Arabidopsis thaliana: one gene and its partners. The protein of the gene in region 3 interacts with the protein of the main gene of each other region in a pairwise test. Each region holds a gene or a part of one and is shown on either strand. Other genes may lie near its edges.

The links.
Region 1: the proteins of BAK1 (region 3) and GG1 interact in a two-hybrid assay, tested with the Arabidopsis thaliana proteins (one study listed by BioGRID).
Region 2: the proteins of BAK1 (region 3) and CNGC17 interact in a two-hybrid assay, tested with the Arabidopsis thaliana proteins (one study listed by BioGRID).

The regions. Positions count from the first base shown.
Region 1 is NC_003074.8:23,415,170-23,418,922, reverse strand, and holds the start of GG1 (Ggamma-subunit 1), read right to left. Parts: upstream 1,675-3,753; 5' UTR 1,661-1,674; coding exon 1,427-1,660; intron 916-1,426; coding exon 863-915; intron 723-862; coding exon 678-722; intron 603-677; coding exon 518-602; 3' UTR 1-517. Other genes in the region: APG1 (S-adenosyl-L-methionine-dependent methyltransferases superfamily protein), read left to right, coding at 1,921-2,471, 2,566-2,872, 2,949-3,107; AT3G63400 (Cyclophilin-like peptidyl-prolyl cis-trans isomerase family protein), read right to left, coding at 3,488-3,753. UniProt on the Arabidopsis thaliana protein: Guanine nucleotide-binding proteins (G proteins) are involved as a modulator or transducer in various transmembrane signaling systems.
Region 2 is NC_003075.7:14,856,376-14,860,128, forward strand, and holds the start of CNGC17 (cyclic nucleotide-gated channel 17), read right to left. Parts: upstream 1,645-3,753; 5' UTR 1,405-1,644; coding exon 1,376-1,404; intron 1,165-1,375; coding exon 408-1,164; intron 324-407; coding exon 25-323; intron 1-24. Other genes in the region: AT4G30370 (RING/U-box superfamily protein), read right to left, coding at 2,368-2,898. UniProt on the Arabidopsis thaliana protein: Probable cyclic nucleotide-gated ion channel. Forms a functional cation-translocating unit with AHAs that is activated by PSKR1/BAK1 and possibly other BAK1/RLK complexes. Required for PSK-induced protoplast expansion.
Region 3 is NC_003075.7:16,088,962-16,092,714, forward strand, and holds the start of BAK1 (BRI1-associated receptor kinase), read right to left. Parts: upstream 1,817-3,753; 5' UTR 1,328-1,816; coding exon 1,243-1,327; intron 974-1,242; coding exon 841-973; intron 759-840; coding exon 687-758; intron 518-686; coding exon 374-517; intron 247-373; coding exon 106-246; intron 1-105. Other genes in the region: AT4G33440 (Pectin lyase-like superfamily protein), read left to right, coding at 3,059-3,481.

The DNA of each region.
Region 1 (3,753 bases), on a different chromosome or scaffold from region 3:
AGAGTAATAAGTAATAATAAAAAGACAACAGATGAGGCATGTGCTCTGTGTTCCATTATCGTTCTATCTATATAATAAACATAGGTATGTATGTATTCTGATCCTCGAAACTAGCGTGTGTGTATCATGGAGGGTGGATGTGGCCAAAAGTTATCTAAAAAGAAAAAAGAGAGACACACTTAACGGTCTTCAAGATTGTACCCACTTCCTCATTAGCTATTACTCTATTAGCCCCCAAATATCACTATGCACATTTCAGCTTCTTTCAACAAGATCTAGAATAAGAAGATGAGAAGCTGTAAGCCTGAAACTCCATTACTCGTATGTCAGATCCGGATCCCATACATTACATATACATATAATACTGTTTACGTAGGTGCAACTAAGCCGTTCTATGCAATTCCAATGCTCATTAATCTGTACGCTTTTTCTCTGCTACAGCCCCATTTTGGATCCCATGTAAAATGATATCCTAGCAAGAAACTAGTATATGTAACACATTACTCTGTCTAGCGAATCAAAGTATTAAGCATCTGCAGCCTTCTCCTCCATTTGGTCCTTCAAACCACCGGTCCCATCCTAAGTTCAAAGGTCCATTGGTTCTGCCAGCACCACAACATCCATCAGTTATTCAGTCCAAACCAACACTAGAGTTTCAAGGTTTAAAAAGCACTCACAGTGGCAACAGAGGATCGGGTCCTTTCTCGATGACAGATAGCAGCCTGCGAACCAAGGGAATATCAATTTGATCACCAATCAACGTACAAGTTTCAGTCAAATCCAGATAATATACCTACAGGAGCTAGCACACAGTTGCTTGCAAGCGTTAAAAAAAAACATAGGTTGAGTATCCCATACTTACTCCTCACACACGGTTGATACAATATCTGTGTTCTCGACCTCCTTCAACTCTTTCTGGATATAGTACATGAAACAGAAAGAGAGAGTAAAGCTATTTTTAGTAAGTGTTAGAGCTCACTAGTAGGAACAATAGGCAAACACATTATCTGTGCAACAGAGAAACTTGGGAGAAGGTTAACTTTTAACATGCCTCGATAGATGATAACCAAGAGAGAATGATACTAATTGGACTATGATCAAAAGTATTCTTGCACATCCCTAAGAATAAGATCAACAGAGAACCATTCCAATAGTGGATCCAAAGAGAACCCAGCAGATTTAGATTTTGGGAATACAATTCATAGAGTCATAAACAAGACTGACTGAAATGGTGCCACTTATTGTCAAGAGAACTACCATGCTCTTCTGATTGGAACAGATCTGCCATACTGGTTTTTGCTTTCACAGGAAACAATCTTAGCGACCTTTACCTAATTGTTGTAACAATTGATCTAAAAAGGATAATTGAGCTATCCACGAGAGACCTACGTCGGAATTTGAAAGAGATACGAGTTAGTTTAGCTACCTCCAAGAAAGCGACTTCCTGTTCAACGCGGGCAAGCTCTGCAAGGATCCTGTGCTTGCCCCCGCCGTGAGAAACAGACTCCTCCTGCTCGTAAACCACAGTTTCCTCTCGCATCCTCTCGCTAGCAGGTCGCAGATCTGACAACGTCAGAGAGAGTCTGGTCTTAGTCCGTACAAGTTTGAATTGTCGTCGAAGTCTCTCTCTCTCTGACTCAAATCGACTTTTCCCTTCCATTTGCAGAAAAATGCCAAAACGCCCAATACTATTATTTGGGCCAATTCTTGCAAATGAGCCCATGGGCTCAACAAAGGGATATGTGTTGTCGCAACAAACAACGTGACCGTACATAAACATGTGGTTGGAGTCAGTACTGACTCTGTTAGAGTTAGAGGGTTTAGTCACACTCTCATTCTCGTTTGTGTTTTTGATTGGCGGAGAATTGGTGATAGATAAGCTTCTTCTTCCCTCTTCTCAACTTGGTGGATCTGTCATCGATGGCCTCTTTGATGCTCAACGGGGCCATTACCTTCCCCAAAGGTTTAGGTTCCCCTGGTTCCAATTTGCATGCCAGATCGATTCCTCGGCCGACCTTACTCTCAGTTACCCGAACCTCCACACCTAGACTCTCGGTGGCTACTAGATGCAGCAGCAGCAGCGTGTCGTCTTCCCGGCCATCGGCGCAACCTAGGTTCATTCAGCACAAGAAGGAGGCTTACTGGTTCTACAGGTTCTTATCCATCGTATACGACCATGTCATCAATCCTGGGCATTGGACCGAGGATATGAGAGACGACGCTCTTGAGCCAGCGGATCTCAGCCATCCGGACATGCGAGTGGTCGATGTCGGCGGCGGAACTGGTTTCACTACTCTGGGCATAGTCAAGACAGTGAAGGCCAAGAATGTGACCATTCTGGACCAGTCGCCACATCAGCTGGCCAAAGCAAAGCAAAAGGAGCCGTTGAAAGAATGCAAGATCGTCGAGGGAGATGCTGAGGATCTTCCTTTTCCAACCGATTATGCTGACAGATACGTTTCTGCTGGAAGGTATCCTTTTCTTCTTCTTCTTCTTCTTCTTCTTCTTCTTCTTATAATCGTCTTCTTTCCGGTGGGTTTGATTGTGTGTCTCATCATCACACAGCATTGAGTACTGGCCGGACCCGCAGAGGGGAATAAGGGAAGCGTACAGGGTTCTCAAGATCGGTGGCAAAGCGTGTCTCATCGGCCCTGTCTACCCAACCTTCTGGCTCTCTCGCTTCTTTTCTGATGTCTGGATGCTCTTCCCCAAGGAGGAAGAGTACATTGAGTGGTTCAAGAATGCCGGTTTCAAGGACGTTCAGCTCAAGAGGATTGGCCCCAAGTGGTACCGTGGTGTTCGCAGGCACGGCCTTATCATGGGATGTTCTGTCACTGGTGTTAAACCTGCCTCCGGTGACTCTCCTCTCCAGGTCTTTTACCTCCCACTTCACCTTTTTTACTTTCTTCTCTCTTTGATACACTAAACTTATCACTCAAATGCTGCAGCTTGGTCCAAAGGAAGAGGACGTAGAGAAGCCTGTCAACAACCCCTTCTCCTTCTTGGGACGCTTCCTCCTGGGAACTCTAGCAGCTGCCTGGTTTGTGTTAATCCCTATCTACATGTGGATCAAGGATCAGATCGTTCCCAAAGACCAACCCATCTGATCCTTCTCTTCTAGGACATGATCATTGTATCATTGTAAACCCCTCTTGTGGTAAAGAAAGATTCGAGTCCTATCTATGAACATGCGGAATATCATTAACCTTCTTTCTTTACATGTATTACTAGATTTTCATGTTGAGATATCTATGCTACTTGTTCGATAAATTTTCTACAAACTTCGATTCCCAAACTCAATTCTGCCAACATATATCAGTCTCAATTTGATCAATGTTCCACGATCTGTAATAATGCAACTAAGGTAGAGTATTATATATCCGACCAACATAAAAAATATCATTACCTATTATTGCTTGCACTAAAACACGGAAATTAAAACAAAAACTCGCAAGTCAGCAGAGAAACCAATGGATGAGAGTGACCATCAATCCGCATAGCTAACCAGACCTCTCTTTCCTGGTGGAGAAGGTGAGTGAGAAGGGCTGAGTGATTCTGCAGGAGAGGTGCGTCCTCCTCTGATGGGGGATCTCTGTGGCCCGAGACGGGATTTCAGGTCTTGGCTAATTGGCTGCCTCTTTCTAGGGCTCTGGCTACGGCTACGATGCCTCGGACTCTGGCTCCTGCTTCCGTCTCTCAATCGTCTACGGTACCCATCTGGACTCCGAGAAGTGCTCCTTCTCCTCCGGTTGT
Region 2 (3,753 bases), 1.2 Mb from region 3:
AATTTCTATGATCTCTGCCATTACCTAAGCTGCTGCAATCCCCACCACAAACAGTAGAAATATCTCTCGAAGAACTGTGAAGACACAACGTTTTTCGTGATTGCATTCCCAAAGATCCCATACTTGAACTCGCCATTCCGTGCATCACAGAGTTTAAACACTTTTGTGACATTTGCCCAAGTCATCTGATTATTGTCATACATTGAATCACAGTCTAAGTAATATAGCTGACAATTAACTTGGCCAGCTTCACCATTGCATCTTGATTTCCAGCACGATGTATATCTATCAACCGATAATATATACCAGGCTGCACCAAGCACCTGTCCCAACAAAAACATTGTAGCTTTGATTATCATCACATTTAAGGAATGAAATAATGGAAGAAGAAGGAATGGGATTCATACATGACTAGCCAGCATGTATAGCAAAAGATTATAAGCAGCTCCAGCCCAAGCAGTCTTTGTAACAACTCCAGTTGCTTTAACAATTTGAGAACTTAACGGAATTATCAAATAGAATCTTGGGATGTATTGGAGGAGCACAATCAAAGCAATAGCATTGTTGTTATGATCAAACCGGTAACTTTTTGTAGTCGATATAACAAACCAGATAACTATCTGTGGAAGTGGTAACGTCGCAATGAGATCGATGATGAAGTCAGATTTAATATACCTCCAAGCAATAGCCTTAGGATCCATCACAAGCTCACCTCTACCAAACACTCTAGTACTTGAATTAGGCGCAATGAAACCAGTCCTAAACTTAATGAAAATGTGCAGCAAGTAGAAAAGATCCGCTATTGTCCTGAAGAAAGTAACAAGGATGCTTAAACTTGTATCAGTCCTTGCACAAGGATAGTTTTTATCTCCTCCTATAGCTGGGACAAAGAAGTACAACGGGTCGATGAAGAGAGCAACCATACATGAGACAATGAAGACCCAATTCCATTTCAAGACAATCTCACTTCCTGGATCAAGAATAGTCTTGTACCATGAGACTTTAGAAGATTTGGACTTAGAAGCATCAGTGTATCTAAGTCTATTTCCAGGTAAGAGATTATCAGGTCTTAGTGCTGAAGGTAAAGAGAGCTTATAAGATTTGCTCATTGGATCATTCACTGCCCATTTAGCTTCTTTGCTTTCTTTCCCCTCTGAGTAAAACCTACAAAGCAATACACAACTCAAATCTGTAATCTGAAACCTAACTAGAGATTTAAGTTAAACCCAGTACCCAAAATCGGAGCTTGAGCTTGTAACATCTAAAGAAGAGATAAATCTAAAGCAAAGTCTAGAATTTTTAATTTCTGGGCAATCAAAGTTGAAGACTTTCAGGAACGTAAGTCTAACCGACGGATGAGAGAAAGAAAACTTACATAAGAAGCTTGTCCTTCCTTAACTCCATTAGAAGAAGCTCAAGCTCAAGCTCGAGTAAACAAATCTATGCAAATTAGAATTAACAGAAGCTTTTAAAAATCATTTCTTTGATTCGTGTCTCTGACACTCTCTCACTCTTACTCTCTCTAAATCTGAGAAAGATCGTGTTTTTGTTTAGTTCTTCCGGAGAGGATTGGAAGAGGAGAATCACTGAGTCACGGGACGAGTCAGAAATCGGAGGGATATTTGTTTTTTTTTCTTGGGAATACTTGAGCCATCGGTATAAGACAAGAAAGTCAACACATTTGACTAAAGTGACATTATTTCGTTAATCAAAGTCATTATTAGTTTACAATACAAAACACTAATTAGACAATGTTACTTGTTACTTCACAAAAACACTTCTTTAGTCTTATAGTCAGATCCAATCACAATCACTTTCTCCGTGTGAGTCACAATCTCACATTCCAATCAGAAAACGATTCTTTAGCCTCCTTTATTTTTATGTTCAATATAAACTTTTGAATCACACACTTGAAAACATAGTTGACATAACTTTGGAGGTGAAGTAGGTAAATTAAAATCACATGAACCAAGCTTTACTTAGAACTTATACTTCATCATGGACAAATTGAAACAGAAACATTGATGATTAACCACTGAATCTCAAGTGAAATTATGAGAAATCATTAAGGTAACATAAGCAACATGTTTAAAGTGACAAATGGACAACATTTCTATCAGTAATTGACTAGATTGAATTTAATAATTGGCATGATAATCAAACCTCAAACTAAGTTAAATTCTACAGAAACCCATCATTCTCTTATTGGATCAAATTCATCAAACGGTGAAGAAACAAGCTTTCAATTGTGAAGCCGTGTAAAAAAAAAAAAAAGACACTGTACATGACTATTGATGAAAACCAAAATTGCTGCTAAATATGATAACAAACTAAACACACTTTCAAATCTAATTATAAAACCACCGATCAAAAAATTTCACCTTGTGGTCTCCATCTTCTTCCTTCTTCAAATCTATAAACCCTATCCCTACAAATCGGACAAGTCGAGACTTTAATCAACCACAAGTCCACACACTTTCGGTGAAACACATGTCCACATCGAGGCAGCTTCCGACACCACTGTCCTTGTCTAAATCCATCGATACAAACAACACAATCATCGCCTCCGTACTCTGAACTAGGCTCACAATACTTGAATTGAGGAAGCCTCTTCACGCATCTTGGAGATAACCCATCTGAGTATTCGTGACGGCGATGGCGGCGGAGACGGTGGCGATAGTTTCGTTGAAGAAACCAGTAGAAAGCGAAGAAGAAGGTGAAACCGAGAGACGTGAGGATAAAGATAAAAGCGGTTATAGCTACAGGGATCATGATTAGACCTATGAGGAAGTTAGAGAGAATCTTCGTCGGTAGATTCTTCGTGTTCGCTTTTGGCGGCGGTGGAGACGGTGATGGCTCGCGGGAGATTGAGCCATCGTAGGGAATCGTTATCGACATCGACTTGCGGCGGAGATTAAAAATATTCTCTTTTACGAATCAAACTCTAATACTCTGTTTTAGGGCTAAATAAAGGAGAGATTTTTATGGATTTTGAAGATCGAAAATTTATCGGATTCAAAGTATATTGTACAAAAGAGTTTGTCTGATAGATATTTATATGCGGGAATATTCGGACATCTTTTTTATATCAGTTTTTGACGATAACTTTTTAACTAGTTTTGGCCCTTATGAGAGGAACTCGTGAGCAAAGTCTTTTTTTTTATATACCAAATTTTTCATTAAATTGATTAAATTTAACTAGAAAGAAGAAGATTAAGCGTATATAAACACAAATACACAGACACGTTTTAAAACAATGGGGTTCTGATAAATTATGTTACTAAATTTTGATCATACAGAATGTAGTTTGGCGTTACAAGAAAACTAGAGGAGAAAACAAAGGGCGAAACCAGACTTCATTTAAGGATAAAGTATTGGTGATGAGATTATATAAAATAGGGTTCAGTTTTGGGTTCCAATTATTATCTCTGTCCTCTGAGCTTCCTATCTGGTAATGCCGAGTGGGAAGTGATAAGGACAATCCGACAAGGGCAGCTTCCTCGGTAACTCCATTCCTTATGTCACCATACCTACCTTTACATTCAGAAATTCTTTGCATCATTTTTAATATTATCTCGTTGTTTCTCACGTTTTATTCCGGTTCATTTTGCGGTTATGATCCGGTTATCTTCGTGGTTGAGCTTGGTTTAGAATAATGTCTCTTATCGTCTCGTTCGGCCCATTAACGCTCGCCTCATAACTGTTCCATATGTACTAGTCCATAAATATTGATTTCACTACATTTAGGACCTA
Region 3 (3,753 bases):
GTCAATAACTACCATTGAAGATCACAAAGGTGACACACGAGAACAACCAAAAAGACAGTCACCTGAATTCGGAACTTTGTGTTGTTCCAGTAAAATTAAGCGAACACAAGGATAGAGTTCTGATTCCTTTTACGAAAGCTCATAATTAAAATAGACCATATTATACAACATCCTAGTCTCCAAGAGAACACCTTTTCATCTAGTAAAATAACGTAGCATCTATTTGGCGACACTACTTTCTGACTCCTACAAATGTAACACGTTGCACGAATAGCTTTTACAGGAAGACAAACACGATCAAGGAAACTAAAGACAATAATTAGGCTGCTTATTAAAAACGTATTAAAAGAAGAGAGTAGAATATGGTGCATACAAGAAACGGAGTTTCTTAAGTCGGCCGAGAGTTGATGGAATAGGCCCGCTTAAATTGTTCAAGTAAAGATCCAAGCTCACCAATTCCGTCAGATTTCCAAGCTGTTCTGGGATTGTCCCAGTAATGTTATTGCTATAAAGCTCCCTGTCATTACCATTCTTTAATATTAATTTCACCATAAGATCGGAAAGATATATAACTAATAATCTATGATAATGCAAAATTATGCAGTTATTTGGAACATTGTAACATTTTTAACATCCCACATACACCAAAAGTTAAAAGACGGCCTTTTAAAGAAAAGATGACTTACAAGTACTGCAAGTTTGGAAGCTGACCAAGTTGCATTACGAGCTGTCCAGATAGATTTGCATTCCCAAGGTCACTGAGCAAAAATGAAGTTCAAGTAAATTCTCAGTAGATGCGAAAATCCGAATCATCTTGGCTAGATATAGAAAGAAACTTACACACGTGTAACACTATTGTCGCTATTGCAAGTAACATGAAACCATGTACATGGAGTAACAAGAGTAGCATCCCAACTTTGAAGCACCTTATTAGGGTCGGCTAAACTGTTTTTCAGTGCACTTAGAGCATCACCTACAATTAACCAAAGAAGAAGAAAAAATCAAACTTTGCAATCATCAAGTGTCACGAGGATACATAATCACTGGAATCAGTCGAAACAGATGTAACCCAAATATAACTCAAGTCAATACAGCAAAACAAGTAACAGATAAGTTAAAAATGCCTTCTTTAGGTGAGAACAAGCTCTCATAAGCCTATACTAATCAAAATACTCAACAAGGGAAACTAATTTAATTGGAAAGAATGAAAAATTGAAAGAGAATGAGAGAGAAAGGGGAAACCTTCGGCGTTGCCCGAGACTCTGAGAACCAAATCCAAAACGAGAATCAACCAAAAGAAGCAAGGGATCATTAATCTTCGTTCCATTTTATCCTCAAGAGATTAAAAACAAACCCTAGAACTATCCCTCATCAGAGAAAATCCATCATTGTTAAAACCCCTGATAAAAGGGATCTCGAATCCTTCGATTAAGCTACCACCCACACAAGGTAATACCAAGATGATGAAATTAGAAGCAGAATACGAGAAAAGCCCTCTCAACGCGTATCCACCCGTTGACTTAATTTGAAGAGAAAATCAAAATACCCAAATCGATTAATCGCGGAAACCAAAAAAGCAAAAAAAAAAGAAACTGAAGCTAGACTTTTCCGATTAGAAGGAACGCCGAGATCGCTGACCGTTGACTACTTAATGCTGAGAAGAGAGAAAACTGAGATAGAGAAAACGAAAGGAGGAAGAAGATATTTCCTGGAAATATACTAAAAAAGGGTCGAAACAAAGAGAGATGAGAGAGAGGAGAGAAACCAAGTTATCGCCGAGAGCAAGGAAGGAAGACGAATTTTAATTATTTTCTTTGCTTAAAGAAGGGATTTTACTGGGTTGAGTTGTTGTACTGTGAAAACTATATTAAAAAAATGACATTTAAGATTGAGAAAACGACAAAGAGGATGATGACGTGGACGAGCATTTTCAAAGCTTTTTTAGAGCTAGTCAAAGTCAAAGACGCACGACTTCATTCCGAATCATGTTTGTTATGTTCGCCCACCTTATCATCATCCATCATATGACATTAGATATAAACCATGATGGTCATGAACTCATGATAGTTGATAGTGAGTTATATACCATCATCATAATCCTAATTACCGGCCCAGCTCTATTTTTTCGGGCTTTTATTGTTTATTGGGCTTGGTCTTAATAGCAAGTTCGTTTATTCCAAAGATGAGCAAAAGCTTTTTTGATTTTTTTATTCTTTTTTAAAGATTATAGCTCTAAAAAATTACAATTCAATATTGAAAAATGTAAGCTGAATAATCCATCTGGTCCAATGAATTAAACAAAACAAAAAACATTATTGTATCATATATAATTTACTGGTTGATAGTTTAACTATTTATGCCATTTAATATTTTTAAAAGAACAAAAGTAATTTTGAGGAAAAATGAAATAAAAAACAAAAAACACAAACGGACAGAGTATATGTTGCCAGCAATAAAATACGGACATATACCTTAGTTTGGCATTAAAAAACAAAACAAAAACACAACAAACAACTCAGTACAGTAGGCTATTTAAAGGCCCATCAGATTAAGACTTGGAAGTCTGACGAGATTGTAACGCCTCACAATCCTTCCTACCCGTGAGTCCGTGACCGATTGTGTATCATCCATCTTCTTTCTTCTTCTTTCTTCTTCTTTCTTCTTCTTTTATATATAAACCAAAATATAATTCGTGAAGACTTTCACTTTCTCCTTGCCACTTTTTGACGATTCACATGCACCATCCAATATTTTAGTGCCCTTTTCACGACATATCTGTGTCTGTATCCAATTTTCTTATTTACTACTACTTTTTTCTATTTATATATACAAAAATAATCAAAGAGAGAGACGAATTTTCGAGGTAAGGTATCTATCGACTTTCTATCTTCCTCCACCTTTGTTTGTTGTCACCACCACACTACGCTAATCATTGCCACACACATGCATAATTCTCTCCAACCATCTAAAAGTCCCACTTTAGCATTCTTCTGTTTGTAATTTTATCTCAGAGCTTGCTTCATGGGCTTTTGAGTTTTCTCTCTGTTTCCAAAAAACAATGGAACCGGAGAAGAATCCGACCACAGTATTGAGTGCCATTACAAGACCTTCGTGGGCGTTTCTTCTCCTTGTTTTCACCGTCTTAGCGATTCTCTCTCTCCAAATCTCTTCCAATTCTTTTCTCCCTCTCTGGATCCCGACTTCTCAATATGACGACCCTGTTACCTGCTCCGGGTTTTTCAATCACGACCCGTTCCCTAACCGGATCGTTATGTCGATTACCGATTTCGGCGGTGTTGGAGACGGAAAGACGTCGAACACGGCCGCTTTCCGCCGCGCCGTAAGGCACCTTGAAGGTTTTGCGGCGGAGGGTGGGGCCCAGCTCAATGTCCCGGAGGGCACGTGGCTTTCTGGAAGCTTCAACCTCACCAGCAATTTCACGCTCTTTCTCGAACGCGGCGCTCTCATTTTGGGATCCAAGGTTATATCAAAGTTTTGAATTCTTTAACACATTGATAAAGTTTACTTTTTTTTTGCTTTGTTTGTTGTTGATTGGTTCTGAACAGTAGTAGTATTAAGAGAATTCAATTAGTTGTTGATTGCTCTGTGAGAATCCAAAATTTGGGTTTGTGATTGCTTTTTGATTTGTGGGTTCATAAAGTTTTGTTGGTAAACACTATATTCATTTCGCTAATCACGGTCAGTGGTTAAAATGGACCCACCATTGTTTGATACAGCAAAAAAGCTGTTATT